Tamandua tetradactyla: one gene and its partners. The protein of the gene in region 1 interacts with the protein of each later gene in a pairwise test. Links are inferred from orthologs where the notes say so. Each region holds a gene or a part of one and is shown in the gene's direction. Other genes may lie near its edges. The genes, in order: RBPMS, DMRTB1, FOXP3 and FBXL18.

Evidence for each region.
Region 2: the proteins of RBPMS (region 1) and DMRTB1 interact in a two-hybrid assay, tested with the Homo sapiens proteins (2 studies listed by BioGRID). The link is inferred for Tamandua tetradactyla from reciprocal best matches to the Homo sapiens genes RBPMS and DMRTB1.
Region 3: the proteins of RBPMS (region 1) and FOXP3 interact in binary tests that used the Homo sapiens proteins (3 or more experiments, as listed by UniProt). The link is inferred for Tamandua tetradactyla from reciprocal best matches to the Homo sapiens genes RBPMS and FOXP3.
Region 4: the proteins of RBPMS (region 1) and FBXL18 interact in a two-hybrid assay, tested with the Homo sapiens proteins (2 studies listed by BioGRID). The two-hybrid records come from large-scale screens. The link is inferred for Tamandua tetradactyla from reciprocal best matches to the Homo sapiens genes RBPMS and FBXL18.

The regions. Positions count from the first base shown.
Region 1 is NC_135352.1:13,318,777-13,327,032, reverse strand, and holds the start of RBPMS (RNA-binding protein with multiple splicing), read left to right. Parts: upstream 1-4,577; 5' UTR 4,578-4,623; coding exon 4,624-4,689; intron 4,690-8,256.
Region 2 is NC_135328.1:168,179,648-168,187,159, reverse strand, and holds the start of DMRTB1 (doublesex- and mab-3-related transcription factor B1), read left to right. Parts: upstream 1-4,373; 5' UTR 4,374-4,403; coding exon 4,404-5,049; intron 5,050-7,432; coding exon 7,433-7,512.
Region 3 is NC_135353.1:120,889,980-120,897,849, forward strand, and holds the start of FOXP3 (forkhead box protein P3), read left to right. Parts: upstream 1-4,346; 5' UTR 4,347-4,366; coding exon 4,367-4,576; intron 4,577-5,097; coding exon 5,098-5,202; intron 5,203-5,307; coding exon 5,308-5,443; intron 5,444-5,856; coding exon 5,857-5,947; intron 5,948-6,017; coding exon 6,018-6,122; intron 6,123-6,991; coding exon 6,992-7,079; intron 7,080-7,271; coding exon 7,272-7,352; intron 7,353-7,870. UniProt on the Homo sapiens protein: Transcriptional regulator which is crucial for the development and inhibitory function of regulatory T-cells (Treg).
Region 4 is NC_135349.1:4,674,305-4,681,810, reverse strand, and holds the start of FBXL18 (F-box/LRR-repeat protein 18), read left to right. Parts: upstream 1-4,364; 5' UTR 4,365-4,467; coding exon 4,468-4,485; intron 4,486-7,506. UniProt on the Homo sapiens protein: Substrate-recognition component of the SCF (SKP1-CUL1-F-box protein)-type E3 ubiquitin ligase complex.

The DNA.
Region 1 (8,256 bases):
ATCTCATGTAATTATAGTCTACTGTTTAGTTAAATGTCCGCCACCAGGTAAGTTCAGTCACCTTTTCTCCAACCTGCAATAACAAGACTTCACTAATAGAATCCTCAAGTCTCTTCCAGCTTCCACCTGACTTCAAAGCCATTCCCATATGTTTTATATTTGTTAGATCAGGACCCCACTTCTAGATACCAAATTATGTGTCAGTTATATATTGCTATATAATAAACCTCCCCAAAACTCAGTGGTTTAAGACAAAGCATTTACATTTTGCTAACAATTTTGCAATTTGGGTAGGGCCCCAGTGAAGGCAGCTCATCTCTCTTCTATGTGGCATCGGCTGGGCAGCTCAACTGGGGTTGGAGCAGCTACTTCCAAGACAAGGCTGGCAAACTGGTGCTGGCTATCCACGGAGAGCTCAGCTGGGGCTGTAAGCCAGGGACCGCCTTGTGGGACCTCCCTAGGTGGCCACTTGGGCTTTCTCAAATAATTGGAGAGAAGTGACTGGATCTCAGAACTATTTAGGAGGTAGAATCAGGAGGCAAGACGATAGCCTGAAGGTGGGCTGAGGTGTCAGGGATGACAAAAACAATAACACAGTCTCGGAACTCAAGAACCTTTTTGGTCCAGTAGAAATGAACAGACCATCATGACACGTGGTAGATACTGCAGCTTTCTGCTGCATGTTTAAGAGGTCCAAAGCTGATGCCACAGAAACAACCTCAAAACAGACTTTTAATGTCCGCAATTCCCAGAGACAAACATTTAAGACATAATTATAGGTTGGAACTTCTTAAAGCAAACCTCAAAAATGAACACTGCCAGAGCAACTGGGATGAGTAATAAAAACTACAGGTGTACACAGTATTTCCTTTTCAATCAAGCATTTAACCTCGTGGGCCAAATGGCAACGTGGTAAGGTGGTGGGCAGGGGAGGAAGCAGAGGTTTCCTGTTCATTACCCCATGTTGTTTCTAGGACTTATATCCCATTTGCTGTCTTAGAATTCTTTGTATACCAAGAAACTATTGCTACTGAGAAGCTCTCACTTTTTTTCTTTTAAGTAGTAAACAGGTCATAAAGACCATTTATATCCTGATTGAATGCATATTATTTTCTCCAGAGTCAAACTCCCTTCATTCCCAAAGTTTTATAAATAGCAAAAGTCTGTTTACAGATTCTCAGTGGGTCTTGTTTGATAATACAACATTGCTCAATTGTTCTTTCAAACAGGTCTAAACAGTTCTTTACAAAATGGTCAGAAAACAGAAATCTCTCTTTTTCACAGCATATAACCCGAACCTTACGCACTTTTCTGGGAACACCTTGAATTTCGCTCTTACCATTAAGTATTTCCTAGGTCTTCCTCCTTTACTGTCGATACAGCAGTGTAATTACATTTTTTATTTCTTGAAATCTCATCAGTTGTCCCATTCTGCACAAGTTCTTAATTTAGGGTCTGTCCCTTGAAAAAGGATGACTGAAGACCACTGCCATGATGCCCCTTTGGGCTGTTCAAGATGCCACCACTAATTCAGCCCTTCCCACAGGGTCTTAGAAAGACTTGATGTCATTTGAGCCAGGGAGTCAATAACTGATAAGATTTAATGTGCTCATTTGTTCAAAAATAATTACTGAGTGTCATGTGAGTGTTAGGCACTGTCTAGATCTTTGGTACATAATGATGAACAAGCCAGACAAGGGTCCTCTCGTGGAATTTATTTTCCTTTTTTATCCCTGGGGTTTTTGACTTCTAACAATGGACAAAGTCTCAACTTGGCTTCAAGACAAAGAATCAAGTTTTTACTTTTGGAATCAAGCCACATTTCCCTGGGCAGGGGCAGGGGCAGGGAAGGTCCCCCCAGCATCCTGGACTCACACAACATACTCCACCTTCTCATAAGTGGGGTCTGACTGGAACCATCAGTGACCAGATCAATGGCCACTTTTCTTGGGCCTTTGCCAGATGCCAACAAGACAATGCCTTTCTGTGGTGTGTCTTCAGCAGCAGGCTGGGATAGCCAAGGAGGGCAAACTGCTGGCATTCCTAGCAAGCATAGGGGTCCAAGACCACCACTCATTCGTTGCTCAGGAAGACACTGCCCCCAGGTGGTGACCTCATACAACTGAGGGAGTATTAGCAGTGGAAAGGGCTTTGCCAAGGTGTACTATCCATATACTGGCCAATACAAGGAGAACCAAGAGTTACCAAGTTTTGGGAGGAACTGTAGCCCTTGACTCTTCTGGATTCTTAAGTCACCACTTCAATAGACAGTTGGTTTATTTTCAGCCAGGATATATTTTTGTTCCCATAGACAGGAAAGATATTATGACAGCAATTAAAGAAAAGTATTTTTTTTTCTACAGTAAGCTTCTTTATCAAAAGCTTCGGACCTCCAAATAAATCCCAATTTAGGTCCAAGTACCACTTTACTGTTTTTCTCTTCATAATAGTCATAATGCAAATATTTTTTCACTTTGCTTTCTGCAATTTGAACCAGAATTCTGAGATTGTGTTGATGGGAAATAGTTTTGGGTAGCTTGTCTCCACAACACCACTAACTCCCTGGGGCAGGGGCCTTATCTTCAACCCCCACCTCCACACCCAGCCCACTCCCTGCAGCTCTTAAACCAGCGCAGAGTAAAGAATGTCTGGTGAGGGGAGAAAGAGATAAAGTTAAACAAGCAAATAATTAGAAATTGTGATTGGTGCTGGGAGGGAACAGGAGGCTGTGAGAGAGAATTCCTGGGGATCAGGAAGTGGAGGAGAACCTACCAATATGGGGTTTTCCATTTTTATGCTCCTAGCAGTCGAGTTTGAAAGCTTAAAGGATCCATTATTGGAGAAGCTCTCTTTGGCCCAGTAGTAACAAGTGCAATTTTCTTAATGTTAGCTTCCACCTACGGTTGGACTTAAACTAGGCAAGAAGGGGTGCTACATGCTATCTCTGTATCTATCCATCCATTATCTCCTTTTATCTGCAAAACCCTGGGAGATAAACCTCAGCATTCCCCTTTTACAGACGAGGAAACAGTTCGTGCTTACTTCCCAGAACACTGAGGCCCCTTTCTTTATACTTACTTTGAGCCTTTTAAAGATCATCTGTAGTGTCTCCAGTTCTGCTAGCGGTGAGGAATATTCACTTAGCCAACAAATATTTATTGAGTGCTTACTATGTACTAAGTCGTGTATTTAAATAGTCACGGGATTAAAAAGATAAACAGGGCATGGTCTTTGTCTTCCAGGAAGGATCTCCCAAAAGAGCAAGGGAGAAAGCCAGGTAAACAAATAATTCCAGAACAGTCTGATAAGGGCTAAGAGAAAGGGGTCTCCGCGAGGGCCCTGGGAAATCCGGCGCAAAGCCACAGTCGGTGCGGGGAGGCAGGCGAGACTTCCGAGAACCCGCGCAGGAGGTAGGTTTCAAGTTAGGGTGGGAAAAAGCAGGCTCTGGGCAGGCTCTCCCCGGGTCTCTTGAGTTACTTCACCCCGTCATTTCAATCTGCCGGTTCAGAGGGGGAAGAAGCTATGTCTGAACTAGTACAAAAAAGAGGAGGGGTAAACTTAGGGAGAGGGGTGCAAAGCCCTCCTGAAAAGGAAGCCAACAAAAGTAACCCATTACAGCTCCGGGTCCCCGCACCGGCAGGGGCCTGGCTCCCCGAAGCCCCTCTGCACGCTCACGTGCCCCCACACGCGACTTCTCCAACTCAGGCCCGGCTCGGACACCCGGGGCCCTCGGAGCCGACTTAGGTTGGGGGGACCCGGACCTTCTCCCCTCTCCCGCCCTTGCCTTCATCCTCGGACCTACCGCGAAGTCGGGGGCTTCCGCCCCGCGTCCCCTCCCCGGAGCGCGCCATCCGGCCGCTGGGCAGCCGCTCTCGGCGCAGCCCCTCCTCCCGCAAGGGGGCTTCGCCGGCCCGGGTCCCGTCCCTCAGGGCCGAAGGCTGCAGCCCACGTCCAGGGAGGGCGGAGGGAGGAGGAAGGGAGGCGGGGTGGGGTGGGGTGGGGTGGGGGGAAGAGAGGAGGGAGGAAGGCCAGAGAAAGGGAGCTGCCTGGATCTCATACTTCCCAGAGCCTGCCTGGAGCGCGCACTCAGCGGCTCTCGCGGCCCCAGCGTCCCCGTCGCGGCCCGAGCCCCGCTGCCCGGCACCTCCTCCTCCTCCTCCTCCACCTCCTCCTCCTCCTCCTCCACCTCTTCCTCTCTGGGGACCCTTCGTTCCCCCCCCCCCCCCCCCACCTCCGACTTTTCGCTCCAGCGGCTGCTAGGCTCGGGCAGTGGCAGCCCAACTCGGCCACATCCCCAACTCTCTGGGCTCACTCCCGGGACGCGCGTCCTCGCCCCATCCTTTCTTCCTTCCTTCCTTCCCTCGCGCCCGCCCTCCCTCTCCAGGTCTTTCTCCCGGGTCGCGATTGTCTCCGTTCCCTTCTCCGGCTGCCTGCGCCCTCGCCCTGCCCAGTCTCTCCCGCGCACTTCCTGAGGCGCCCGCCGCCGCTGTCCCGGCTCCAGCCCCTGCAGCCCGCGGCGCCCCGCCCGAGGGAGCCCCGGCGCCCGGGGAAGGGAAGAGCGGGCGAGCGCGCCCTCGCCCAGCCCCGCGCCCCAGCCCTGCCCCGCGAGCCAGGACCGGGAAGATGAACAACGGCGGCAAAGCCGAGAAGGAGAACACCCCGAGCGAGGCCAACCTTCAGGAGGAAGAGGTACCGAATGGTTCGGTGCGGTGGTGGGTGCGACCGGGGATGGAAGCCGCCGGCTCTTTCCAAAGTGCGGGCGGCCGGGAGGGAGAAGCCGGCGGGGCGCGGGCTCTGGTCCTGGGGCGCAGGCGTGTGTGTGTGTGTGTGCGCGCGCGTGTGCGTGTATGTGTGTGAAGACGGGAGTTTGGGGCTTGACCTTGCCCCTAGAGATAACCCCAAATTTGGCCCCGGGAGGGTGTATCTTTTGTGTGTCTGCGCGCGTCTGCATGCCTAAAATTGCGTAACTCCGAGCATTTTTGGAGACTTTTCTAAGTATAATGCTCAGCTTTGTTTGCCCGCGATCTTAAAAGAGGAATCGAGAGGTGACTCTTGGGTGACCTCAGATTATTGGGACCCGGAAGGTTAGAACTGAGGCTGAGGCGCTGTGTGTGTGTGTGTGTGTGTGTGTGTGTGTGATTTAAGGGAGAAACTCTGGGAACTCTTCTGTCCCCAGCCCTTTCAAAGTTAAAAGTTCTGGGTAAAGAACTTTTTCTTTACCAAAAAACTGAAGCATTTTGGATTAATAGATAACATCCGCCGCATTCTTCTCTGATCCGCGGCATTCTCCTCTGATGAGTCAAAGACCCCGAAAGTGGGCGATAAGCTTTAGCAAGTTTGGGGGCGATGCCGAGGTAGGGAGCAGAATAAAAGGGTTAAAAATTTTACCGTTCACCAAATGACCATCGAGGCTGTATTTACAGCACTTTGACTTTTGAACATAAACTTTATTGGTGCGTCCGAAAAAACCATAAAAATGTTTTGGCTGCGGAGCGTTTCTTTGGTGTAAACACAGAAGTCAGTAAACGTAGGGGGCGGCCCATGAGAAAACTTTTCAGAATTTTGCAGTTAGGATATTTGCTGGTATCCTATCAGATGACTCCATTCCTGCAGGTACCGTATCTGCAGTTCAAGATCTTATATAATTGAGTTCTTAAACATTCTATAGTGTGTGCAGATATCTAGATATAACCCATAAAGCATTCCTATAGGTTTTGCATTCTAATATAATAAATTAAACATGGAATGGTAAACTTATTCTAAAGCGGTTAGGAATCAGATTGCTTCGATACCGTGTTGTGTGCAAATGAAAATTCTAACAGTGAAACCGAACATTAGAGAGTAATTCATTAATAAATTTAAGCGCATTGTCCATTTGTAATATGGGAACTATTTAAACCTGGAAGATAGAGGAGAGAAACAAGGACCATGCAAAAAATGCAAAATAAATATAAGATTTTACGCTTATTTGCTGTGTTTTAGTGTAACCTAAGTGAATTGAATGAAGACAAAAGTTGCCTTCTCACCTAAGGGTATTATCTGTTGTATTACAAACTATTATCTTGAAAAGTGTTTACATATTGTTGTTTCATAATTACAAAGAAAGTAATACTACTGGTATTTCTTTTCTTTCTCAAAGAGGTGGAGACTTGAACTGCAGATTCCACTTTTTTCTTCATCCTTGCTGGCTGCTTTGCTATTTATTTTTCCTTACCACTTATAATTTTAAAATGATGGCAAGTTTACTCTTTTAGGGATTGCTGTATTGATCTAATACACTCAACTTCTCAAAATGACAATTGCTTCAGAAACCTTTCTATTTCAGTTAGATTGGCAGTCTGTCTACTTATAAGAGTAAGAACATATTGTTTGAAATCATCTTGATCCGTTCACCCCATCGAGAAAACTCATAAATTGGAAGAAGTCAATCAGGCAAACTGAAGTTTGGTTTTTTTTTTGTTTTTTTTTTGCTTTTGGTATGTGGCTCAAGAGGTTGGAGTGTCCTGGAACCACAAGTCCGAGAAAAGTCACATTTTTCTTTCTGCTTGACCCACTCGACTGAAGCACGCCAAAAAGGGAGGTGTTGCCTGCCTTGCACTTGGGACTCTCTGGCTAGAGTTCGCCAGGCTGTTGAATGAGTATATTCCCAGGCCCTCGCGGTGGACGTCACTGTGCAGTGGACCTGACTCTGTCCCTTCCAGGTGGGAATGACATGTGGCTCTAGAAAATGCCAGTGTTTTGTTTTAGTTTTTAAGAAAAATACTCTTTTTTAAGAAAAAAAAAAAAAAAAAAAAAAAAAAACAGGAGGACCGTCAAGAAAATTTCAGAATCCAACTTGACCGAGAGGTGGGTGTCACCTAACAGATAACACTGTGAAGAGAGGGTCTGTATAGTGTTAGCAATTCAGGAAAAGAAAAGAGATTGGTCCAAAAGATCCAGGTAATTTGGCATCAGTTCCCTGGTTTGGGTTTATGTTTTGTTTTTGGACAACTCCTAACCTCTTTTTTTTCTAACCCTGAAAACCGCAAAGTAAAATAAATATGATTTTTGGTGAGTCCCACTCATGTGCTCAACATTGTATAAAACCACGGCACTGGACCCTTTTCTGCCTGCCCAGCAAATCAGCAATTCCTCCCCAAACATGTTTAAAGCTTTGGCTTTAAACAGCGCACACATGTACAATGCGTATATACAATAACATGAGGAAAAATGTGTTTTCTGAACTGTTATAGAAAAGTGAGTCCGATCATCATTAACATAGTTTATTTATCATTAGGGTGGTTTAGGATTTCTACTCTATTATATGTTTTTAAAATATTTTTTAAGTGAGTTCCATTTATCATCCTGTATATTTTAGCCCTATATGAGAGCCTCTAATGCTTATTCTGAACCAATGATGCTGAAACACCTACCTGGTTCCAGTTGTATAGAATGAACAGAATAAGATTTATGATAATTTCTATAGTTTTTTAGGGTTGGAAGTTTTTGAGAACTTGGACAGTTCAGGTACTTCCACTTTGGATAACACTTAAAACTATGAGGAAAAATGATTCTAAGATTTGGCTAGCCAGCTGTGTAAGGGAGATAATTTTCTGCTTGGCTTTCTGGTTTTAGTGTATTATACATATGTATTCCTATAAAGTTGTTCCTATAAAGAAAAACCAGTTGTTGAGGTTTTAATGGATGCTGAGATTTATAAGGCCTATGTATATATATGTATGTATATGGCATCATTTTTTACATCATTTTGCAATTAATAAAATTCTAGAATTTGCCTTTAATTTTGGAACAGACAACATTCTCTTAAAACACCTTTGGCAGTTTGCACTCAATCAGACTATTACAATTTTAAAAAATGTAAATATGGGTCATAGTTATTTGTCTTATGTAACCAGTTATCATAAGTCTTAATACATTCAAATATAGTGAGACTTTATCTAGTAGAAAGAAATAATTTACTTATTGGTCAGTGAATTTTTCAAACAAATTTCCTTTTTCGAAATCTTATAAATATGTACATTTCAGGCTGACTACAAATCATTTCTAAAAGGCATTTTATTATGTTGAAGCACTGTTAGAGTAGTTTCTCCTTAAATCACTTTTACCAAACTGACTTGTGCTTAAAACAAAACTGAAATAGCAAAATCTTGGCACTGCTGGAATATCAATCGGAAAGATGTTTGGCAGATGTTGGACAGAAATCACGTAAAGTCAGTTCTTAAGAGGTTAACACAAATCTTTACTTTACATTCCTCC
Region 2 (7,512 bases), on another chromosome or scaffold:
TGTGTATCCCACATGGAACAACCACCCAAAAGAAAATCCCATTCAACACCATTTTAATCTTGCAATACCTATGCCAAGTCCTAATTACTTATTGCCCCACTTAACATCCCTGGCTTCTGAGAGAAGAACCAAGAGCAGGAACTAGATATCTGGATCTGTGGGTTCCGGTTTTCTGGCTCTTCCATGTCTCTTCTCTCTTCAGTCTTAGATAAGTGATGCCTATCATGTGCCCCAAGGACTCCCTCCATGATCTAACGGCTACCTATCTCTCCACCTCCTCTCTCCCCAGTCTCCCAACTTTGCTGTATGACAGCCATGCTGCAGGCCTTCAAACATGTTCTTTCTGCCCCAGACATACTTCTCCTGCTTCTGTAGCTAGCTAATTCCTACTCTTCCTCTGGGCCTCAGCTTAGCAATCAGTCCCTCTGGGAGTCTTCCTTGGTCTCTCAAACCTGGTTAGAGCCTCCATATTGGCTCTGAAAGCATCCTGGGCTCCTTGCCACTCCACCATTCCCCCTGCTTTCATCATACTGAAATTATTGTTTACTGTCTGTATTGACAGCTAGAATGTATGCCTAAAGGCAAGTATGTTGGTTTGAAAGGATTATGTACCCCACAAAAGCCATGTTTTAATCCTGATTTATCTTGGGGAGGCAGCTGTTTCTTTTAATCCCTATTCAGCACTGCATGTGATTAGATTATCTCCGCAAAGATGTGACCCACCCAATTGTAGGTGGTAACCTTTGATTAGAAGATTTCCATGGAGGTGTGTCTCCACCCACTGAAGATGAGGTTGCTTACTGGAGCCCTTTAAGATGGAACGATTTTGGAAAAACCTTTAGAGCAACAGACCCATGAGAACCAAGGGAGCCCACGCAGCCAGAGATCTTCAGAGATGAAGAAAGAAAATGCCCCTGGGGAAGCTTCAGGAAACAAGAAGCCTGGAGAGAAAGCTAGCAGAAGTCGCCATGTTCACCATGTGCCTTTCAACTGAGGGAGAAACCCTGAATGTCATCGGCTTTCTTGAACCAAGGTATCTTTCTCTAGATATCTTAATTTGAATATTTGTATAGACTTGCTTTAATTGGGACATTTTCACTGCCTTAGAACTATAAACTTAAAACTTAATAAATTCTCCCTTATAAAAGCTGTTCTGTTTCTGGTATATTGCATACTGGCAGCTTACAAACTAGAACAGCAAGGATCCTCTTTTTTTTTTTTTTTTTTTTTAAATTTACTTCCCTGTCCTTTATCCTTAGTCCACAGCTGGCACTCAATACATATTGGCTATGGGTGGAGTAAAGCAGTGGAATATCCTAGGAAGTTTCCCCAAGTTGCTACCACCTTCAACTACTTTTGCCTCAATTGTAATGAGTTTAGACTAAGATGAACACTTCTACTCATCACCAAAGCTTTCTTGGGGAGAGCACTTGTTTAGAAGAAATATTTGGTTAGCAAATATCTGGTTAAGAGCGTGAACTTTAAGGTCAGATTTCCTGGTTTTGAATCTGTCACTTACTGGCTGTGAAATCTTGGGCAAGTTACTCAACTTCTCTAGGCCTCAGTTTCTTCATGTGCAAAACAAAGGCAATACTGTGGTAACTACCTTAAAGAGTATGAAAATTATAAAAATTACTATACATAAAGAACTTAAGAATTCCTGGCACCAATAAATACTTTTACTATTATTACACCACTAGGGATATAAGGGTGTGGGGTGAGCTCAAGGAATCAAAGTTGATACCCCAATCTTGTTATGTTAGGAAAGAGGTCACTGTGGGCTCTCTATTTTGCTGAACACTAGTATAATGTTTGGGGAAAACTGCTGAAACCAAGCTGATTTACTGTGCAAATTAGGGAGGAGATAACTTTGGCTTCGGCAGAAGAGGGAGGCAGGATTTATTTGTATATGCAACAAATATTTAATGAATTTCCACTATGGGCTAGGCAAGGTTTTTCCTCCTTACTCTGGGGCACCAATGATTGATTCATCTGACCTCTGCTAGGAATTTTAAACAGACGAGGAACAAAGAAAAATAAGATAGCAACAGCCTTAATCCCCAGAAAGCTGACAAAAATCAAGAAAGGCCAGAGGAGTCAGCAATGCTGGGCACTGCGTTTCAGGGGAAGGACAGATCAATATATCTTCACTGGGTATGGCACAGCAGAGGAGGGTTTTGAGATAACAGAAATGCTAATGCAGGATTTCAAAGCATCTACTATGGTATGTGTAATGTAAATCCTCTCCCATCTCCTTTACAAAATCTTCATTAAAGTTTTCATGCTCACAATATATGTATGGGTTATAGCTGCTGGGGGAGGGATACTATAGACAAAAGAGCCCTTCCTTACTCCTACTGTGCTACCAGTAGGGAAACATTACAATGCATGCAATATTTAATGATTATAGATGATACCCATGTACACTGTGTAATACAAGGCTCTTTAAAATGAATGAATTAACAATACCAAAAGTACTCATATTAACTGATGTGAAGAGGAATTATATAGGAAACTTGGAAACTTTTTCCCAAGGGAAAAGGGAGCCATACCTGAAGTTGGGAGCCAGATATGATCACTACCCCAGACTCTCTAGCAAACCGGTGATTTCTCAGCAACTGTAATCTGTCCTTTTATAAATGACTGTCTGTAATTCAGATTTTCTTAAAACATAAATGTTTTAAGATTTAGGTGTGGAGAAGGAAGGGGTCTACTGTGTGCTTTCTGCTCCCATGTTTTTCTGACTTCCAGTTTTCCACTTTTACATCATGTTCCCATCTTTTAAATAACAACAAATGTATATATTAAAAACAAAAAGCAACATCTCATTTCATCATCAGCCTCAGTTATCAAACCAAATAAAACAAAACTATCAATTTTCCTGAATTTCCAGGAGTGAAATAAATAAAGCTCTGCTGGAATTTACCTACACAAATTGAGACTTTGGGGGGGAATAAAGAAATAATCTTTTTTCTTTTCTTAGATTTGTTTACAATATCAACCCTGGGGTTTCTGCATCTTATTATGTGACTACTGATTAAAAAGATATTATGTTGTTTATTAATGTTCTCAAAGCACTATGCCAATTCACATCAACTTGGGTGTATTTTGCCCCTAAAGCTATGAAGTAAATATGGAAGCATTTTGTAGTTAACAAGACTATAAAATATGTTAATTCAAATACTTTGCTTTAAATGGGATTTTTCTTTTTTTTGAACAGGATTTTTCTTTAAATCATTAATGAGAAAATGAAGAAAGCTTGGATAGTCGAGCATGAAATGTAAATGAGAGTAGTTATTTTTTAAAGTATCATCATCTGATATCACAATTTAAATTTGATATTGCACAAAATGATCTTATAATCTGCAGTATCATGAAACTATGCAGCTTATGCCCCAGATTTTTTGGTGGCAGTACTGAAGCCAAGATTTTAAGTAACATTTTCAAATGACTAGATCAGTGAAAAACTTAAGACATTCTGAACTGGGTGAAATAAAAAAAAAGTGCTTGCCTGCTTTTTACCTATGGGGCCATATATATATATAATATATGCATATATATATTAACCACAACTACCTCCTTAAATAATTATATGACTGACCCTGTCACCTAGGCACTGATGGCCCCTTTCTCTTGTTCTCTTTTTTAAACCTAAACAACAACAACAAAAGACCTCAGAGTGTCACTTTTCAGGTATCCTGAGATTTGGATTGGTTTACAGAGATCACTAAATTCAAGGCAAAACTAAACCAGGATTCAAGTTAGTAGAATATCCCGAGACTATATTACTTTAAGATGTCCTAAGAATGTTTTACTTTGGAAGGCATCAACACAGCAATATCCTACCTTCCAGAAATGCATCCCTGTACCAGCAAGACTCTTTTAAGAACTGGGAATTACCCTGGAGCAATCATCACACAGCACCGAGCTCTTGAGAATATTCTGGAAGCATCACACTGTGACCGGTTGCTTCTCTGCAGGGGAGAGAAATGAAATTCAGCAGAAGCAGCAGCTTTTGGGAGGTGATACACGGTTTTCCTGTGAGAATGCTTTTCTACTGGAATGGGTTTACAGAGCACTACATTCCTCTGGAGTTTTAAATCTGTGGACCGTTGAATATGACTCCGCCTTATTTGAAGTTGCAAAATACCTTCTATCTGGGGTGGCGGGAATCAGAACTTTGGAAAATTAAATGTCTGAGACTTCAGACAACCCAGATGGCGTGCATGCAATAGCATTCCATGAAAAACGTATTCAGCCCAACCTTTGCACCTAATTACCCAAGGCGCAGAGATTCAGGGACTCTCCAAATTTTGCATCCCCCCCAAAAGGGAGGGCAATTGCAAGGGTCTTGCTGCAGTTCCCGGGACGTACCACCAGCCGCTTTGTTACAAGTGTATCCAATGTCCCCAGCACCAAGGACTTCTGGGGCGCCGCTCATCCTTGCTCCACTCGCTCTGCAGCTACCGTCTGGGGAGGTTGTACAAGCAGACCCTACCAAGCAGGCCGACAAGATGCTGCGTACCCCGAAGTGCTCCCGATGCCGGAACCATGGCTTCCTGGTGCCGGTCAAGGGCCATGCAGGCAAATGCCGCTGGAAGCAGTGCCTTTGCGAGAAGTGCTATCTGATCACCGAGCGCCAGAAGATAATGGCGGCGCAGAAGGTGCTCAAGAAGGAGACGTCTGAGGAGGAGCAGATAGCCCTGGGCGCGCAGGGGCCGGAGCTTGCCTCCAGGGCCATGGTCGCCGTCCCCGGATCAAGCCTCTGCCCGCTGCCACCGCCCTCCGCTGCGAGAAATGCAGAGCCCGGCCCTCCGGCCGCCCGCTTCCTTGAAAGGCCCCCGCCGGGCCCGAGCCCAGGCCCCAGCGCCTTCCAGCCGGTTCTGGGAGGCCGCGGCCACGTGAGGCCGAATGAAGGAGTCGGGGCGGCGATGCAGGGTTCTGTGGGACCCCAGTTCGAAGCGGAGGCCGCGGGCAGGGGATACCCTGGTCAACTGGAGATGCCAAGGCTGCTGAGGCCCGTTTCCAGCCCACCATTCGCCGATTTCGGTAAGATTCCCAGGCCCCGTGCAGGCATGCCCCACCGCCAGTTCCTTTCCAGGCTGTAGTTTCCCTGCTCCGGGAGCTCCCAGGCCCGCCCGGAACCGCCAATGTAGGCAGTTGGGGGGGGAAAGTGGGGAAAAGAGGTAGCCTTTGCTTTGACAAATCTTTCTCTGAACAGGGCTTGGGTTGGTGCCTTTTTGCAAAAAGAAAAAAAGAGAAAGGAATGAGTGGTCCACAGGACTTTTAACGTTTAGCGACAGTTTTTGCCTTTCCATCTTGCAAGAAAAAAATGGCTACCACGCCAGCTTAGCTGTGACTCCTCGGTGGGGACGTCCTGTGGAGACCAGTCCGACTGCGCTTGCGCACCTCTTCCCGCCTTTTTCTTGGACTGGCTGCTCCTCCCCCAGAGCGTTTCAGCCGGTGGGCAGGCTCAATTCTGGCTGCTCCTGCGCAACCTTTTGTAGTTTGGAGACTCTGCCCTGAAGATCTGTCCTTAGCAGGGCCCTGGTATAACGCACCTGCACCTGCGCACCCCTTGCTGCTCTTTTCTAGGCCTTGCGAGTCCTTCCACCCCGCCTATTACTCTGTGGGTGGACCTGCGCCTGCGCACCCACCCCTCCTACTGGTGGGCTGAGGTTCCTCCCAGAAGACTGCCCGACAAAAAAAAAAAGCATTCTGGCCTGATGCGCCTGCGCACCCATTCCCTCCATTTTCTTGGGCGGGAGTGAGAAAAGGTTTTACCCGCGGCCCCCTACATCCACTGGAGAGGAGCAGTTGGTTTACTGAGAAGTTACTGTCTTTAATTTTTTTGTCCCTCACCCTTGCATAAATTACATTATTACTGATATCTTACAGCATTCAGTATTAAAGTATAATTTCAAGTCACTTATAGATTTGAGGCTTTCAGAACAGGTTCTTTTTTTAAAAATATTTTGATTGATAAACAACATACAAACATAAGCATTCTTAACATACAAACATTCCATACACCTACAGTCAATGGCTCACAATATCATCACATAGTTGTATATTCAACACCATGATCATTTCTTAAAATATTTGCATCACTCTGGAAAAAGAAAGAAAAAACTCATACATACCATACCCCTTACCCCTCCCTCTCGCTGACTGCTAGTATTTCCATCTATTCAATTTATTTTAACATTTGTTCCCCCTATTATTTTTAATCCATTATTTCTTACTCATCTGTCCATACCATAGATACAAGGAGTGTCAGACACAAGATTTTCACAATCACACAGTCACACTGTGAAAGCTATATCATTATACAATCATCTTCAAGAAACATGGCTACTGGAACACAGCTCTATAGTTTCAGGTACTTCCCTCCAGCCTCTTTAATACACCTTGAACCAAAAAGGTGATATCTGCCTAATGCATAAGAATAACCTCCAGGATAACCTCTCGATTCTGATATCTCTCAGCCACTGACACTTTATTTTGTCTCATTTCTCTGTCCCTTTTGGTCGAGAAGGTTTTCTCAATCCCTTGATGCTGAGTCCCAGCTCATTCTTGGATTTCAGAACTGGTTCTTTTTAGTGTGGATATGTTTTCTCGGTATCTTACCTATAGCAACATGGTTGAAAAGCACAGGTCTGAGTCCAGAGGCTGGGGTGGGGGGTGGTTGGAGAGGAAGGCTGCTCAACTTTGAGCAGACTGCTTCTTTCTATGCCATTCTCTCCTCTCTGTATCTCCCTACTGAGACTGGTCTGGATACTCTTTGAAGGCCATTTCTGTCTTCTGGGGCATTCTAGGAAAATCGAGGTTTCCCAAGAAACCAGCTGTCTGATGGGGAAGATAGACCTGAAACAGCAGTTATAGGAGAAGGCTGCCTTCCCAGGGTCACAGTCTCAACAGACACTAATGATGAAGAAAGAAGCAACATTCTCTGCACTCAAGGATCTTGTAGTCCTAGTGGGAGGGACAGCATGTAATCAAAGAATCATGCAAATAAATGCATGAAGCTATAATAACTGATGATTTAACTGAGGTCTGAAGGAAGAATAGGACTTGATGAGCACACAAGGAGGCAAAGTGGAGCTACGGTATAAGGCCTTCCAAGCCCAGGGAACAGCATCTGCAAAGGCCTTGCGATGAATGAGGTTACAGTTTATGATACGGCTGGAGTGGAGGCAGGAACCAGACCCCATGGTGCTGCACAGACTGTGCTAAGAACTTTTTCTAAGAGTGGTTGGACATAGTTGTGGAGTTTTAAGAGGAGCAAGGTTCATAGACGTAATGGATTTGGGAGTTCTTTGCAAATGCATATGAATGTTTATTACACTGCTATCCTTGGTTGGACAGTAATGTGATGCTCTTTTCCCCAGCTCTGTATTTCTAATGCTTCCCTATTGCTTGCCTTCTTCAGGCCACCCTCTGAATGTCTCTCCTGATGGTGTGGTAGGGCCTGGGTATCTGAGAGAGAGAGAACCTTCCAAGCTGTATCCC
Region 3 (7,870 bases), on another chromosome or scaffold:
CATTTGTCCGTGGGTCTGTGACCAAGCTCTCTATTCTGTTCCATTACTATAGTTGTCTGCTCTTGAACCAAAGTCACGCTGGTTGGTTGGTTGCTTTGCAATACAAGCCATGAACATACCTGGACCATCTTGCCGTTAATTATTTCAGGCAGCCTCAGTTCCTACAGACACAGACCAGCGATCATTCTTATTTGGGGCAATTTCTCTCCTCTCCTCTCCTCTCTTCTCTCCTCTTCTCCTCTCCTCCCTTCTCTTCTCTTCTCTCTCTTTCTCTGTCTCTATGTATCTCTTTGCCTCTGGGTATCTCTTTTTCTCTCTCTCTCCCATTCCCTCTCCCTGTCTCCACAGTTCTCCCTCCTTCCTTCTCTCTCTGTCACTGTCTCTGTCCCTCTATTTCTCTAAATATCTCTTGCTATCTCTCCCTCGTTCTCTTTCCCTGTCTCTCTCTGTGTATGTCTGTCTCTGCCACACGCTATTTCTCTCTGTTTCTCTTTCTTTCTTGTTCTTAGTACCTTTCTGTTTTCCCATGTCTGTCTATCCCTGCCTCTGTCTCTCTCTGTTTCTGTCTTACTTCATCTCAATGTATCCTTGTCTCTCAGCCCTGGATAGAGGAGTAGTTGTCGACTCAAAGCCCCATAGACACCTAATGACTCCCCCAGACTCAGACTGAAGGGATCCTGACCCTCACCTACCCCTAACCCTCTCCCCTCACCAGCATATAGAGGAACAAATTGAGGCCTGGAGCTGGGCGGAAGGCCTCTCCCAAGGCCTCCCAGAGGTTCAGTGGCAGAGTTGAGCCCAAGCCCACATCTTAGGAAATTCAGTGGGACCCTTCCGTTCTTCCTCACCGTGGGCCTCAGTTTATCCCTCAATGCACACGAGGGCAGTGAGGGACCCAAGCTGCCCCCAAATGCTGCCATCTTCCTCCCTGCCTTCTTGCAGGCTGGGCCCTGACCCAGGCCAGAGGAGCCATGGTTACCACATGGGGCACAGACTCAGAAGATCTGGGCTAGGTGGGGAGCCAGGTCCCAAGGGCCAGAAGCCAGGTGACCAGAGGGTGGTGATAATGGAGGAGCCGAAGTCAGTCAACCCATCTGCTGGTCTGGCTGTGGACAGAGTGCAGCCAGGTCCCCAGAGCTGGCAATCGTTCCTGGGGACCGCTTTCCCTTGGGCCCCTCCAGAGATTCTGGTTGTGGGGGTCAGTACTAGCAAAGGCCAGGGCTTTTACTCCTCAGATTCTGGTTGTGGGGGTCAGTACTAGCAAAGGCCAGGGCTTTTACTCCTCACATTATGAGGCATGGCCACCTCCAAGCTTCAAACCTTCAGCCTCTCCACAGCCCTGAGAATTGCCACAGATACACTGGTCCCAAAGCTGGTCACAGTGGTCAGATGGACATCACCCACTGCCTCCACTTCCCCCTTCCTGCCTCTCTCATCACTGGTGGGGTGGCTATGATGCTAGGAACACTGTCCCACAATGGGCAGGGAAACCAGGACCCTGTAACTATCATTTACCCACCAATCATCGACACTCTGCCAAGCCTTTCACATGCACTGACTTTGGAAGATGGGTAGGATTATGGTCAATTACTATTACATATGAGGAGCCTGCTGGAGAGTTAAAGCTAGTGAGGGGCAGAAACTGATCCCCAGCTGAGGGAAATGAGGGGGTGATTCTGACCATACTGCCTTCACAGAACTCACAAGGGAGGCTGAGAGGAGGCTCGCTGCAATTCCAGGCCTGATAGCTTCCCGTCCATCAGGGAGTTCCAATGAGTTTGGAAACCAGGGCCCCTGGCCTATACATACTGAGAAGCTAGCCCCATGGACCTCCCAGAGTCAGGGATTTTGAGATTCTTGAGTCCTTTGAATCTAAGAAATGACGTTTTAGTATTCTGAGGTTCTGGGGTTGTGCCATTTTGAAGACTCCCTAAGGTCCCAGTATCTATGGGGAAGGGACCTCCATGACACCGCACCTCACCTCAAGCTTCAAACCTTGAACTTCTCCAAGAAGCGCCACAGGCATTACAGGGCCCAGGGCTTGTCATAGCGGCCAGATGGACGTCACCGACCACATCCGCCAGCACCCAAGCCGGCTGAAGGATGGAACGGCCAATTCTCAGAACGAAACCCGTGGGGTGGGGTATCTGTCCCCTTCTCTTCCTCCTGCATGCCGATGAAGCCAGGCGCATCTGGCTGCCATGACGTCAATGGCGGAAAAATCGGGGGGAAGTTGGGGGCTGTGACGACAGGGCCCAGATGCAGACCCCGATACGAGAAGATGATCTGTGTCCCCAGAAACATCCCCCAGGCAGCTTCTGAGAAACCTACTCAGAAAGGGACGCCCCGACAGACAGTGCAGGAAGCCGGCTGGCCAGCCCAGCCCTCCGGGTACCCCACCAGACAGACCATATCCAGGTCCCATTTCTGAGAATGTGTCTATGCATGCCTACGTCGAGCCATTCCATATGTGTCGGGGGAGATTTCCTATAAAGTCCTGCCAAGCATAGGTCCGGGGAGCTTCAGAAGTGACCACAGGCCAGCCAGGTGGGCCAGGCCAGTGGGGGGTGAGAACACCTACTCATTCCTTCCTTCATTCACTCACCTCCTTATGGTCACCACTGTTCTCCCAGGCTCTGGTTCCAAGCCCCCATAGACTCAGGCTTCTGATTCTCACGAATGAATGTTCTAAACCCCCAAGAGTCCCAAGAGACCAAGAGCTCACACCCTCCTTGATGCATGGACTCAACACCCACTTCCCTTGGCACCACAACTCTGACAACCACGAGGTGACAGCAAAGAAAGGAAGGAGCAACTGCTCTCCCAGAACCTTCCTTGTACTCTCCCAGGTTGCTGTCAGCAGCTGTGTGCCCAACCCAGTGCTCCGGGGTGGGATGGGATGGTGGGTTTCACACACACAGAGAAGCTGGCTTGTGAGCTGCGCGCACACACACACAAACACACACAGGAACACTTTGTGGAGAAAGAAATGGAGGTCTTAAGTCACCGTGGGACTGCAGAATTCTTTGCACTCGGGTGTCCTGTTCAGTAAAATGGGGATTGGACCTGCAGTCCCTTTCAGCTCAGTTCTGACTTCCTCTCAGACTAGGATTCCACGATTCTGAGAAACGGGGGTCCTGTCTGTTGGAGAGTGTAAGGCTGCAAGGCTCAGCAGAGCGTCTTGGAGCCATTGTGGATGGCTTTCTGGGTGAGGACAATGACAGCAGACCTTTCCTGGCTTGGATAGAGGAGGAGGAGTGGACACAAAGGCTCAGGAGTAGGCTTGGGGAGCAGAGATCAGGGTAAACTCTGGAGCTGGGCTGGGGAGCTCCCACAGGTCCCAGTTCAGGAGATGGCCTCTCTCCCCCACCTCCCTTCTCTGGCACCTGGCTCCAGGCAGGTGGAAGTCCAGAGATTACCTAGCCTAACCCTGCCCTGAACAGCTGGACAAGTGCAACTGTCAGCTGCCCACTCGACACTTGCACTGCACATCTAATGCCAGAGTCATTGTATCCATCCACATCTACATCATCACCCTGCAAACCTGCCACCCCCTCTCACCCCTATCTCAGACCATTTCAGTCTGTCCTTCCAAGCTGCTAAGGCTAAAACCCAGAAGTCACCTTGACTCTCCCTTCCTCATCCCCCACATCCAAGCCATCTGCACATTAGGTTGACTCCACCTTTAAGATATCCCCAGAATATCCCACTTCTCACCATCCCAGTCTTCGCCACCATCACTGTTCACCTGCAATCTCACCATAGCCTCTTCACTGTCCCTCAGTTCCCGCCTTGGCCTTCCTACAGTTTGTCATCCTCACAGCAGTCAAATGAATCTTTGGAATCCACGCCCCACTCAATCCCAGCACATGCCCAAACCATGGAGATACAATGAGTTCAGGTGGCTGGGATGAGCTGCCCTGTGAAGGGGGCAGAGAGGACCAAAGGGCTAAGGCTTGAAGACAAGGTCTTAGTGGCAAAGGAAGGGCCTGAGACCTACTCTGACTGAGGCTCCAGGCACCACCTGAACCCCCTACTGCCCCTCAGAAGACACATCCAAACCATGTCTGTGGTAGCATATGTGAACGAGCCATAAGCTGGACCTGTGCATGTCTGTGCATGGAGTGTGTGGGGGTACACATGTGTACTTGCGATCCTGACATCCATCTGCACATGTGTGTGTGCATACATGACCAGAGCTGGGTTCAGCTGGGGGGTCTTCAGGACATGCCCAGTCAATGCCTGTTCTGCCCAGAGTGGGTGTCCACGTGGTTCAGGCGGTTGAGTATTTCATGCACTCCCCAGCACATGTTTAACTCATTCTCTCTATTTTTCCCTCTGCAGCCTGCCCTCAGACAAGGACCCAATGCCCAACCCCAAGCCAGCCAAGCCCTCGGCCCCTTCTTTGGCCCTCAGTCCATCCCCAGGACCCTCGCCCAGCTGGCGCGCTGCACCCAAGGTCTCAGACCTGCTGGGGGCCAGGGGTCTGGGGGGAACCTTCCAGGGCCGGGACCTCCGAGGTGGGACCCATGCCTCCTCCTCAACCTCGAACCTCATGCCACCTTCACAGCTGCAGGTGAGGCCCAGGGCTCAGGATGGGGCAGGCAGGGTGGGGTACCTGGGCCTATAGGTGCCGACCTTTACTGTGGCACTGGGCGGGGGGCCCAGCTGGGGCGCAGGAAGTGGTTTCTAGGTCCCAGGCAAGTCTGTGACTTATGCAGATGTCACGGGGCCAAGAAAGTCCCCATTTAGCAGGTCTCAGAGATTCAAGGCTCTCCACGACCTCCCAATCCCTGTTTCAGGAGAGGAGGAGGCCCTGTCATGATTCCGTGAGCACAGCCATGTGTCCCCATCCCCGTGTGACCGAGGAGAGGGCTGGGGCCAGAGGAGGTGAGGTGACAGGGTTGAGGCCAGCTCTGCCACCTATTAGCTTGGTGATCTTTAAAAAGTCACTCAATATCTCTAAGCCTCAGTTTCCACACATGTAAAGTGGGGATAATCACCGTACCTACCATGTGGGGTTGTGGGGAAGAGTATCTGAATTAGACAGGCAAAACAGTGAGAACAAGGGGCTCACCCACCTCCTTCTTCCCCCAGCTTCCCACAGTGCCCCTAGTCATGGTGGCACCCTCCGGTGCACGGCTGGGCTCCTCGCCCCACTTGCAGGCACTCCTCCAGGACAGGCCACACTACATGCATCAGGTACTGACCCCAAAACAGGCAAGGAGGAGGGGGCAGGTGGGTGAACTAAGTAAGGGGAGGGTCACCCCAAGCCAGGCTGAACCATGGCCTGTATGTGCCTCACAGCTCTCAACAGTGGATGCCCATGCCCGGACACCCGTGCTGCAGGTGCGCCCACTGGACAGCCCAGCCATGATCAGCCTCCCGCCACCAACTGCTGCCACCGGGGTCTTCTCCCTCAAGGCCCGGCCAGGTCTGCCACTGGTAACACCTCAACCCCCACCCCACAGCTTCACATTACCCCGAGTCCCCAAACCCTTGAACGTGAGCAAGGGAGGCTGTTCTGAAACACAGTCCCCAGGAGGTCAGAGGTGTCAAGTCTCAGAGTCTTGGAAACTCCAACCTCCCAAAAATGTCAGGCTCAGAACCTTAAAAGGTACAGAATGTCAAAATCACGGAACCGCAGATCTCTGCAAAGTTAGTCAAAATGTCAGCGCTTGCGAATGACAGTCTTTGAGCTGGTCTGTCAGAAGCCTTGGGATTTCAGGACAGCGGAGCCCCCTGGAAGTCAGGGCCTTCGAGGTGCAGGAGGGTGGGAGGCTCAAAATGAGAAGCCTTGTGGGTCGAGCGCCAGAGCCCAACCAACAATTCCTAGAGGTGCCTTGTCCCCACCCTCAGGGATCAACGTGGCCAGCCTGGAGTGGGTATCCAGGGAGCCGGCATTGTTGTGCACCTTCCCCAGCCCTGGCGTGCCCAGGAAGGACAGGTCAGTGCGTGGGGCTAGGTGAGACCCTTGCCCTGCTGCCCCCTCCCCCTGACACCCCCTCTCCCCCCAGTACCCTTTCAGCTGCACCCCAGGGTTCCTACTCTCTGCTGGCAAATGGCGTCTGCAAGTGGCCCGGATGCGAGAAGGTCTTCGAAGAGCCAGAGGACTTCCTCAAGTGAGTGGCCCCGCCCAGCCCCAGTCCAGCGGGAGGAGGAGCATCCTGGGTTGCGGGGCATCTCTGGGGTGCAGCTCAGGCCTCATCCCAATAGGCAGTAAGCCAAGGCAGGGAAGAGCTGAGACTCTAGGTTCAAATCCCAGCCCCATCATTCACTGGCTGTGTGGCCTTGGACAAGTTGTTTAGCTTTTCTGGACCTCAGTTTCCTCAACTCTATAATGAGCATAAGAACACAGGTGGGTACTGTGATTTACCTTCATTTTACAGACGGTGAAACTGAGACCAAAAGTTTAAGTGGCTTGACCAAGATCACCCCAGTTCCTGTGTGAGAGCTGGAATTTGAACCCAGGCAGCCTCGCTCCAGAATCCATGCTCCTAACTGCTTTGCCCTGCTATCCTTCATGCAGAGTCCCAGCTTCTCAAAATGGCTGTCACTACCCTCCTCTACTACACACACCACACACACACACACACACACACACACACAACACACACACACACAAAATCTTCTCCAACTATACCCAATTATTAGTGGCAATTCAATACTTCCTACTCCATTTCACCACCAGGCCTTTGCACAGGCTGTCCCCTCCGCTTGGCCCACTCTCAGCTCACCACCCTGCCAACAGCTTCTCCAGTACCCTGACCAAGCTCAAGTGGCAAGCTCTGGGCCTGGTACACGGTGGGTGCCGAGTGGCATGTGTTGAAGACATGACAGGTGTGAGAGGAAGACTAGAGTAGAGAGGAGTGAAGGGGCTGAGGTTCAGAGGAAAGTGCCCCCAGAGGGTCAGGGCCCACCCCACTCCACATGTTGAGCCAGGAGGCCAGGCCTGCCATGGTCATCTACCTGGAATCTTCCCCCAATCCAGGCACTGCCAGGCGGATCATCTCCTGGATGAGAAGGGCAGGGCGCAATGCCTCCTCCAGAGGGAAGTGGTGCAGTCTCTGGAGCAGCAGGTGACACTGGGGGTGGGGGTGGGGGGTAGTGAGTGAACTGTATGTCCATCCTGTGCCGGGAACCCAAGCTCACCCAGGAAAGGCTGGCATAAAGGTGGGGGGTGGACCAGGCCCAGGGAACACCACAGCCTGGGCAAAGATTTGGCAGAGAAAGGCTAGGTTGAGGCCTTAAGTGGATATCTGTCCTCACAGCTGGTACTGGAGAAGGAAAAGCTGGGTGCTATGCAGGCCCACCTGGCTGGGAAGATGGCGCTGACGAAGGCTCCCTCTGCGGTGAGTGACCTCAGGCCCACAGGCTGCACAGACTGACAGGGATGGCGGGGAGCGGGGGTGGGGGGCGGGGGGGTACCTGCAGGGGATCTATTCTTATGCCCAAGCCCTAGAGATCTAGGGGTCCCTGGCCCCAGCTCCAGACACACCCAGGCCTGGGGACCTGCCACCTGCCACTTACAAACTTTCTGACCCTAAGATCCCAAGACATCATGATTCCAAGTTTTCAGATCAACAGCAAATAGCCAAACACTTACTGAGCACAGACTGGCGGCAGAAACAGCTACGCTAATTTGCAGGGCCCACAGCAAAATGAAAATGCGGCAGCCCCCTGTTCCAATTTCGAGATGGCAACAGCAGAACATTAAAAAAAAAAAAAGGGGGGGGGAGGGCCTTTCTGAACACAGGACCCCCATGCAACTGCATGGGTCACATGCACAGGAAGCCGGCCCTGGGGGCCAGGAGGTGGTTCTGAACACTTTCCTGGCATTAACTCACTAATTCAGTCTCTGGGATGACCC
Region 4 (7,506 bases), on another chromosome or scaffold:
TGCTGCAGCACCACGATGCAGAGTCCACGAGCCAGCAACCTTTGGAGATGAAGAAGGAAAACGCCTCCTGGGGAGCTTCATGAAACCAGAAGCCAGAAGGGAAGAAGCTAGCAGATGATGCTGTATTTGCCATGTGCCCTTCCAGCTGAGAGAGGAGCCCTGACCGTGTTCACCATGTGCCTTTCCAGATGAGAGAGAAACCCTGAACTTCATCGGCCTTCTTGAACCAAGGTATCTTTCCCTGGATGCCTTTGATTGGACATTACTATAGACTTGTTGTAATGGGGACATTTTCTCGGCCTTAGAACTGTAAACTAGCAACTCATTAAATCACCTTTTAAAAGCCATTCCGTTTCTGGTATATTGCATTCTGGCAGCTGGCAAACTAGAACACCTGCCCTCAGGGAACTTACAGGCCTGTTCAACTCGGAGCCACTGGCCATAAGGCCTATTTATTTGTTTAAATATTTTTATTATAAACAACGAACATACAAACATTCTTGTCATGGTTACAATCAGTGGCTCACAATAGCATCACATAGTTGTATATTCATCAGCATGATCATTTTTTTGAACATTTGCATCTCTCCAGCAAAAGAAAGATAAAAGGAAAAAACTCATACGTGGTATACCCTTGACCCCTCCCTCTCATTGACCACTAGTATTTCAATCCACTCAATTTATTTTAACCTTTGTTCCTCCTATTATTTTATTCCTTATCCATATGTTTTATTCATCTGTCCATACCGTAGATCAAAGGAACATCAGACACAAGGTTTTCACAATCACACAGTCACTTTGTGAAAGCTATATCATCATACAATCATCTTCAAGAAACATGGCTACTGGCCATAAGGGCTATCTAAATTTAAATTAATTAAAATTAGGAATTCAGTTCTGCAGTTGCACCGGCCACACTTTGAGCGCCTAATAGCCTCGTGGGCCAGTGGCTAACGCATTGGACAGCACAGACATGGAACAGTTCCATCACTCTAGAATGTTCCATTTGGCAGTGCTGGCCTAGTGGGAAACCCAAGAAATGATACCAAGGCTATTTAGTTATACACTGTGATAAATGCCACGAAGGAATATTCTCAGGGACTGTGGCAGATGACAAGATGTGCTATGACCTGGTCTGGGGGGAGGGATGGCTTTCTGCAAAAGTGATATTGGGGGCGGGCCACGGTGGCTCAGCAGGTAAGAATGCTTGCCTGCTAAGCCTGAGGACCTGGGTTCGATTCCCGGTGCCTGCCCATGTAAAAAAAATCAAGATTTAAAAAAAAAAAAAAAGTGATATTGGGAAGATAAAGAGAAATTAGCTAAGGGTGGGGTTGTTGCTTCAAGCATAGTACGTGCAAATGCCCTGCACACAGAGTGGAAGTACCTTCAGGAGAACAGTCTGTGGCTCTGGGGCATGGAGGCCACCCCAAGTTGGGCCCGGTTAGCTGTGCTGGGGACTTGGGCTTCACTCCGAGAGCAGTGGGAAGGGAGTCAGAGAGTCTTGAGCAGAGGTCTGATATGGTCAGGTATGCCTTTTTCAAAGGTCCTTGTGGATTTAATGGCGGCAGTGGGGAGCTTAAGAGAAGGTGAATGTTCCTTCAAAGACACTGGCACAAGAAGAGCTCTCCTAGGAGGTTTGGAGGCTCCATCCACAGGACCTGCAGCTTGCCCTGTTCCAGCCTGGACCCCTTTCCCCAGGCTGCCCCTCGCCTCGGCCTCCTAACACCCAAGTGAGGGTTTCTCCTCCCTCCTGAAGTGGAGAATTCCTGGGTGGCATCGTCACGGGTATTGGAGAAGAGAGGCAGCTCACCTTCCAGCTCTACTACTCACCTGGATCTGTGTCGTCCTTTGCATGATGGGGACAATAAAAGGACACACCTACCCCATGGGAGCTTGGAGACATTTTGAGCAGGAGCTCACGTGACCGTGCTGGCAACAAAATAGGGGTTTGGGATGGTAGCGGTTATTACTGACATCAGGAAAGTCGCTTTTCCCCAGACCCTGCCTCTCGATGAAATGGATGGAGCAGAGTCCAGCAGCCAGCATCCTCATCATTTCCAGCCTCTACCCCAGATCCCAGGGGACCCACTTGGCCCAGTCCTCAGTTCTGGTCATGGATTTTTTTTTTTTTTTTGACATGGGCAAGTACCAAGAATCAAACCCAGGTCTCCGGCATGGCAGGAGAGAATTCTGCCACTGAGCCACCATTGCACTGTCCTGGCCTCGGATTCTTGTCCTCCACCTGGGCCAGCCAGGAGCTGCAGGAATGAGGAAGCATCACCCACAACCGACCCCCACCCCCGAAGGGTCCATGAGAGGGTAGGAACAGCGAGGCCGTGGAACCCACTCCCCACCCCCATCTCCTCCAGTGCAGTGGTTCCCAACTTAAGTGTTCCTAAGAATTGGGGCCACATGTCACATAAGGGACTCCTTCCTCACTGGAACTAATAATAATCAGTGATAACAGCTCCCCTTTATTGAATCCCTCCTCTGTGCTGGGCACTTTTTGGTATTACCTCATTTTACCAATCACTCATTCAACAAGTATTTACCATGGGCCTGCTATGCTAAGCACAGTTTTAGTGGGGAGGCGGAAAATACAGAAGCCAATTCAAGTAAATATCATGAAAATCGGGGGCAAGGGGACTTTGGTAGATTTTTTTTTAACTTGAAAAAGATTTAAGAAAGGGTGGGCCACGGTGGCTGAGCAGGCAGGATTCTCGCCTGCCATGCCAGAGCCCCGGGTTTGATTCCAAGTGCCTACCCATGCAAAAAAAAAATTTAAGAAAATACCAAGTAAATGCAATGAATAAATCCTTCTTGGACCTCCTTTATTTGCCTAAACAAACTGTAAACGGATTTTTGACATTTGGGAAAATTTTAATTTCTCTTAAGTATTAGATGATATTAAGGAATCTTTAATGTTGATAAGTATGATAAATGCTTTGTAATTATATAAGAAATTGTGTTTTTTTGAGATGTATATTAAAGAATCTGGAGGTGAAAGTACACTTGAAATTTGCTCAAAAATACTCCCCACCCCACCCCCCCAAAAGATTAAAGGTGGGGAGGAGTAGATATAATTTGAGTCGCAAAATATTGCTGGTTGTTGAAGATGGATGATAACGGGTAGGTACATGGTAGGTACTTTTGCGTATGTTTGGAAATTTCCACAATTAAAAAAAAATCTCTTAAAAAAAACACACAAGTCAACAGCAGTAAATAAAAGTTTCTAACAGAGAGTATATGGGAAAAGAATGTGGTCCGAGAGGCTGAGCAAGAGAATGACAAGAAAGACCTGCTCCCAGGAGGTGACACTTGAGTTACAACCAGAATTAGCCAGGACTAGGGACAAAGCATTTCCCAATTAACAGGAACAGGTGCAACGGCAGGGGGAGAGGCTGCCAGGGATGGAGGGAGCCGGCAAAGGAGGAGACGCAGAGGCGCAGGAGGATGGGGGAGGCTCCGCTAGGGACTTGCCTGGGTCAGGGTTTGGGCTCTCTTGCTTGGGCTCCAGAAGTAAGCCTCCTTTAGTGCTCACTTTGGCTGCGCCTGAAATTGAACTTGATGCTTAAAACCATTTGAAGGCAGAGCTCATCAGAAGCCTCTCGGTGGGAATGACCGGCTTTTACGTGAGTCGAGCCCTGTGCTCGACTCTCTAACGTGGGAGGGAAATGAAGCTGAGGACGGCATGAGAGGAGACAAGCCTTAGGGTAGCCGGGATTCAAACTCAGTTCTTTCAAAGGAGCTTGTCCCACCAATTTTCGATATTGGGAAACATTTTTTTAAATGGAAGGGCTTAGGGGTGAGAGCCTATCGTTTATCCATTCATTCACCCAGCAAATATTCATTCAGTGCCTCCTACATGCCAGGGAGAGTTCTAGCTAATGGGGGTCCTGCCTGGCTTACATTTTACTGGGGGCAGGGCAAAAAAAAAAAAGATGCAGTAGGTCAGATTGAGCTAGGAGAGAAATAACCGGCCGAGGGCATACTGCGGTGCACGGAGGGTGGGGAGGAGGTGCTGCTAGTTCAGACAGGGCGGCCGGGAAAGCCTCTCCGGCAGGGGGCCCCGGCAGGCAGGGGAGACAGCAAAAGCGAAAGGCGGGAGCGGGCTGGGCCTGCGCGAGGAGGCCACTGTGGCCGGAGAAAGGGAGGCACAGGGGTGACAGCTGAGGGCAGAGAGGGAGCCGGGACCACCCGGAGTCATTCGGGGCTCTTCGGGTTCACTGCGCTCCTTAAGCGAAGCCGCGGGGCCCCCTGTCCCTGGGCGGTGCCGCACCCAACATGGCGGCCGCGCCTGAGGCCGAGCGGAAGTGCGTAATCAAAGCGCCGGAAGTGGAGGTGGCCCCGCCCCTTGCCGGGGTCCCTGTGAAGCGGCGGACGCGCCGGCTTTGAGCATCTCTGGCCGGGGAGGCGGGAGGGCCTGGGACTGCAGCCCCGGCGGCCGCGGCACGGCACGCCCACGACATGGCCAGCTCCGGAGAGGTACGGCGCGCGCCTCTCTCCGGTTTCTTCCCCGCCTCGGCCACGCTCGGCCCTCACCATCCCGCCCCCGGACCCCTGTGCGTCCTTCCCAGCCTGACCCCCGCCGCGCTCCGTGCTATACCGGATCCCGGTCACGCTCCGTCTTTCCTTTCCCGACCCTGGACCCGCTCTGTTCTTCCCACCCCGAACTCTGGCCCCGGCCCTGCTTGATCCTTCTCACCCCGATCCTGGCGTCGGCCGGGATTGGTCATTGCTGCCCTGCCCTGGCCACGACCCCGCCCCTTCCTTCCCATCCCAAACCTGCTTTTGCCCCTCTCCAGGTCCTGACCGGTCACCCTGGCTCTGTCTCCAGAAGCACAAGGTCTCTCCCCTTTCGGTTTTCCGTTTCTCTACCAGCCCTCGATTCCTAATCGCCAGAGGCCCCCACCCCCACGACTCCGCCTCCCAAGTCTCCAGGACTCTGTAAACCTCCTAGACTCTTGCCCATGTCCCTGTGCCTTGGCTCAGGTCTCGCGACTCTGAGATTTGCCGCTTCCTACCCACTCCATCTTCTGTCTCGAATGCTCAGTTTCACTCCAGGTACTTCTCTCTGGAGCGCCCTGTTGTGTGACTTGGGGGTGATGAAGGAAAAGCTTCCTTATGCCGCTCTCTGTAAATCTGGGTCCGATGGAGAATCCAGATGCATCCCTGTAATGTGGGACGAGGTATTTCCTCTGCAGACGAGGGCTTAGGGACATCTGGAGTAGTCTCTTCCCCTTTTGGTGCCCCCTTCCTTCCTGTATGTGTACCTGTGTATATATCCGTGGCCTTCCAGGTGTCCCACTGTGGAGTGTACTTCCTAAGCCCCGGGGGCTTGCCTGTGTGCTGGAAATAGGACTACGAGGTTTCGAGTGTCTTCCTTAGAATTGATGGGCATGGGTGTGTGGCAGGCGGCTGGGAAGTGCTGGCAGGTACTCTTTGAAGTGAATTTTGCGCATAAGTGTCCCCTGTGGCTTCTTGGTTGAGACGGAAGGGTGAGGGGTTGACCTGCAGACTCATGACGGGATTGGAGAGCCACATGGCCTGGCGCCCTGAGGAAGAGTTCTGGGTGGCCTGGCTGTGTTAGCAGATTTAAGTTAGTTAGGTGTGTTTGGGGTGGGTCTTGACTCTCAGGCCCCACGTGGACAAACGAGGTCTGCCTCTTGTTGCATTGAGCCCTCTTGGGCTAAGAGAAGAGAAGAATGTGTGCTTTGCCCTGGTTGTGGAATCAGGGTCCCTTTTTCTGGAATGGCCTATTTATCTCTTGAGATAAAATTCATATGCCGTAAAATTCACCCTTTTAAAACTGCCATCCACTGGTTTTTATCATAGTTCACAAGGTTGAGCGATTATCCCCACCACCTAACTCCAAAATGGGGTGGTCTCGTTTCAGAAGTCATTGCTGACTTGAAAATGCAAATGCCCAGGACTCCTCCTGGGGTTTCTGAGGAAACCACGTGGTTAATAGCATTTCAGGTGATTCTGAAGCAGGGGTGGCGTGGACTCACCTCGTTCAGTGCCTCTCCCTCTTGGTCTTCACAAAATAGTTCCTGTCCAGGAACGGTTCCTGGTCTGCTGGATGAGATAAGCAGCATACTTTCACAATTTGTCCTGGGGGAGGGAGTGGACCTGCTGCCCCGGGGATCTAGGGAGGGCTTTACTAGGGAAGTAGCCTTTGAGCTGAGGTTCCAGGCCGCAGGCGTTTCCTCACGGGGCGTGTCTGGTGGAGGGAACAGCTTGTGCTGTTGGAGGTGTTTGTATCAGGGAACATTCCAGAAAATACTAACTAGATAAGCGAAGACCTAAGAAGAGGGACAGTGTCGAAAGAGTGGAGACCTCAAAATCATGTGTCCTTTCAGATTGCGCCTGTGATTAAAAAAAAAAAGTTATAGTGGAAAATTCCACATACTTGCAAAGGAATGATGTAACGCGCCTCTTTTTTGTGTACTCGTTGCCTACTTTCGGTAGTTATCCGTATGTGACCAATCTTGTTTCATCTTTGTCTCTTCTCTTCTCTCCCCTTTCCATTATTTAAAACACATTCCAGATATAGCATTTGTCTGGTAATGAATCCTGTGATTTCTTTGGGTGCCTGATTGGTAAATGGATCAGGACCCTTTCTACAAGAGTGTATTTTGGGGCAGATATTGGGGTTTCAGTTCATGTTCTGTATTTTGAAAAGTATTCTTTTAAGAAGCAGAGTTTAGTGAATAATAGCTGAACTCTGTAACCCACTACTCTTTAAGATACCCTCAGGTTGTCATCTGGTTCTAGCCAAATGGTTGACAGATTGGCCTGATAAGAATCACTTGAAACTATTAAAGGCATTTTTTCAGGGCCTGCACCTCAGCCCTGGATTGAAATTTCAGGGGACTCAAGAAAGTGCCTGGGTGTGAACTCGTTGGAAGCCCGGACAGTCCTTTTTTGGTGGTGGAGGGAAGGGTGGTTTCGGTTTCGGACGTTTTGACCCTGCCTCAGTCACTGCTTGTCCTTTGGCCTCAGATTACTTACATTTTTTTTTAAGAAGAGGGGTTGGTCTGCCTCAGTTTCCCTAGTGGCTGAGCACGTGTTGTCCTGAGAGATTGTACAAGTACCGGTTTGTGTGTGTGTGTGTGTCTAAGCATATTCTGGGCCGCTTAAAAAAAAATTATTTGAGGTGAAATTTACATTACTCAAAATTAACCATTTTAAAGTGAACAGTTCAGTGACATTTAGTATATTTGGAGTGTTATGCAACCACCACTTCTGTCTCCTTCCAAACCATTTCTTTCACTCTATAATAAAACTCTGCACCCCATAAGCAGCCACTCCCCATTCCCTCTTCCTTCAGCCCCTGACAATCACTAATCTGCTTCTGTTTCTGTGGTTTATCTTTTTGGATTTTTCATATCAGTGAAATATTTTTGTCTTTTTATGTCTGCTTATTTCACTCTAATGTCTGCCGGGTTAATCTGTGCTGTAGCATGGATCAGCCCTTCATCCCTTTGTATGGCTGCATAATAT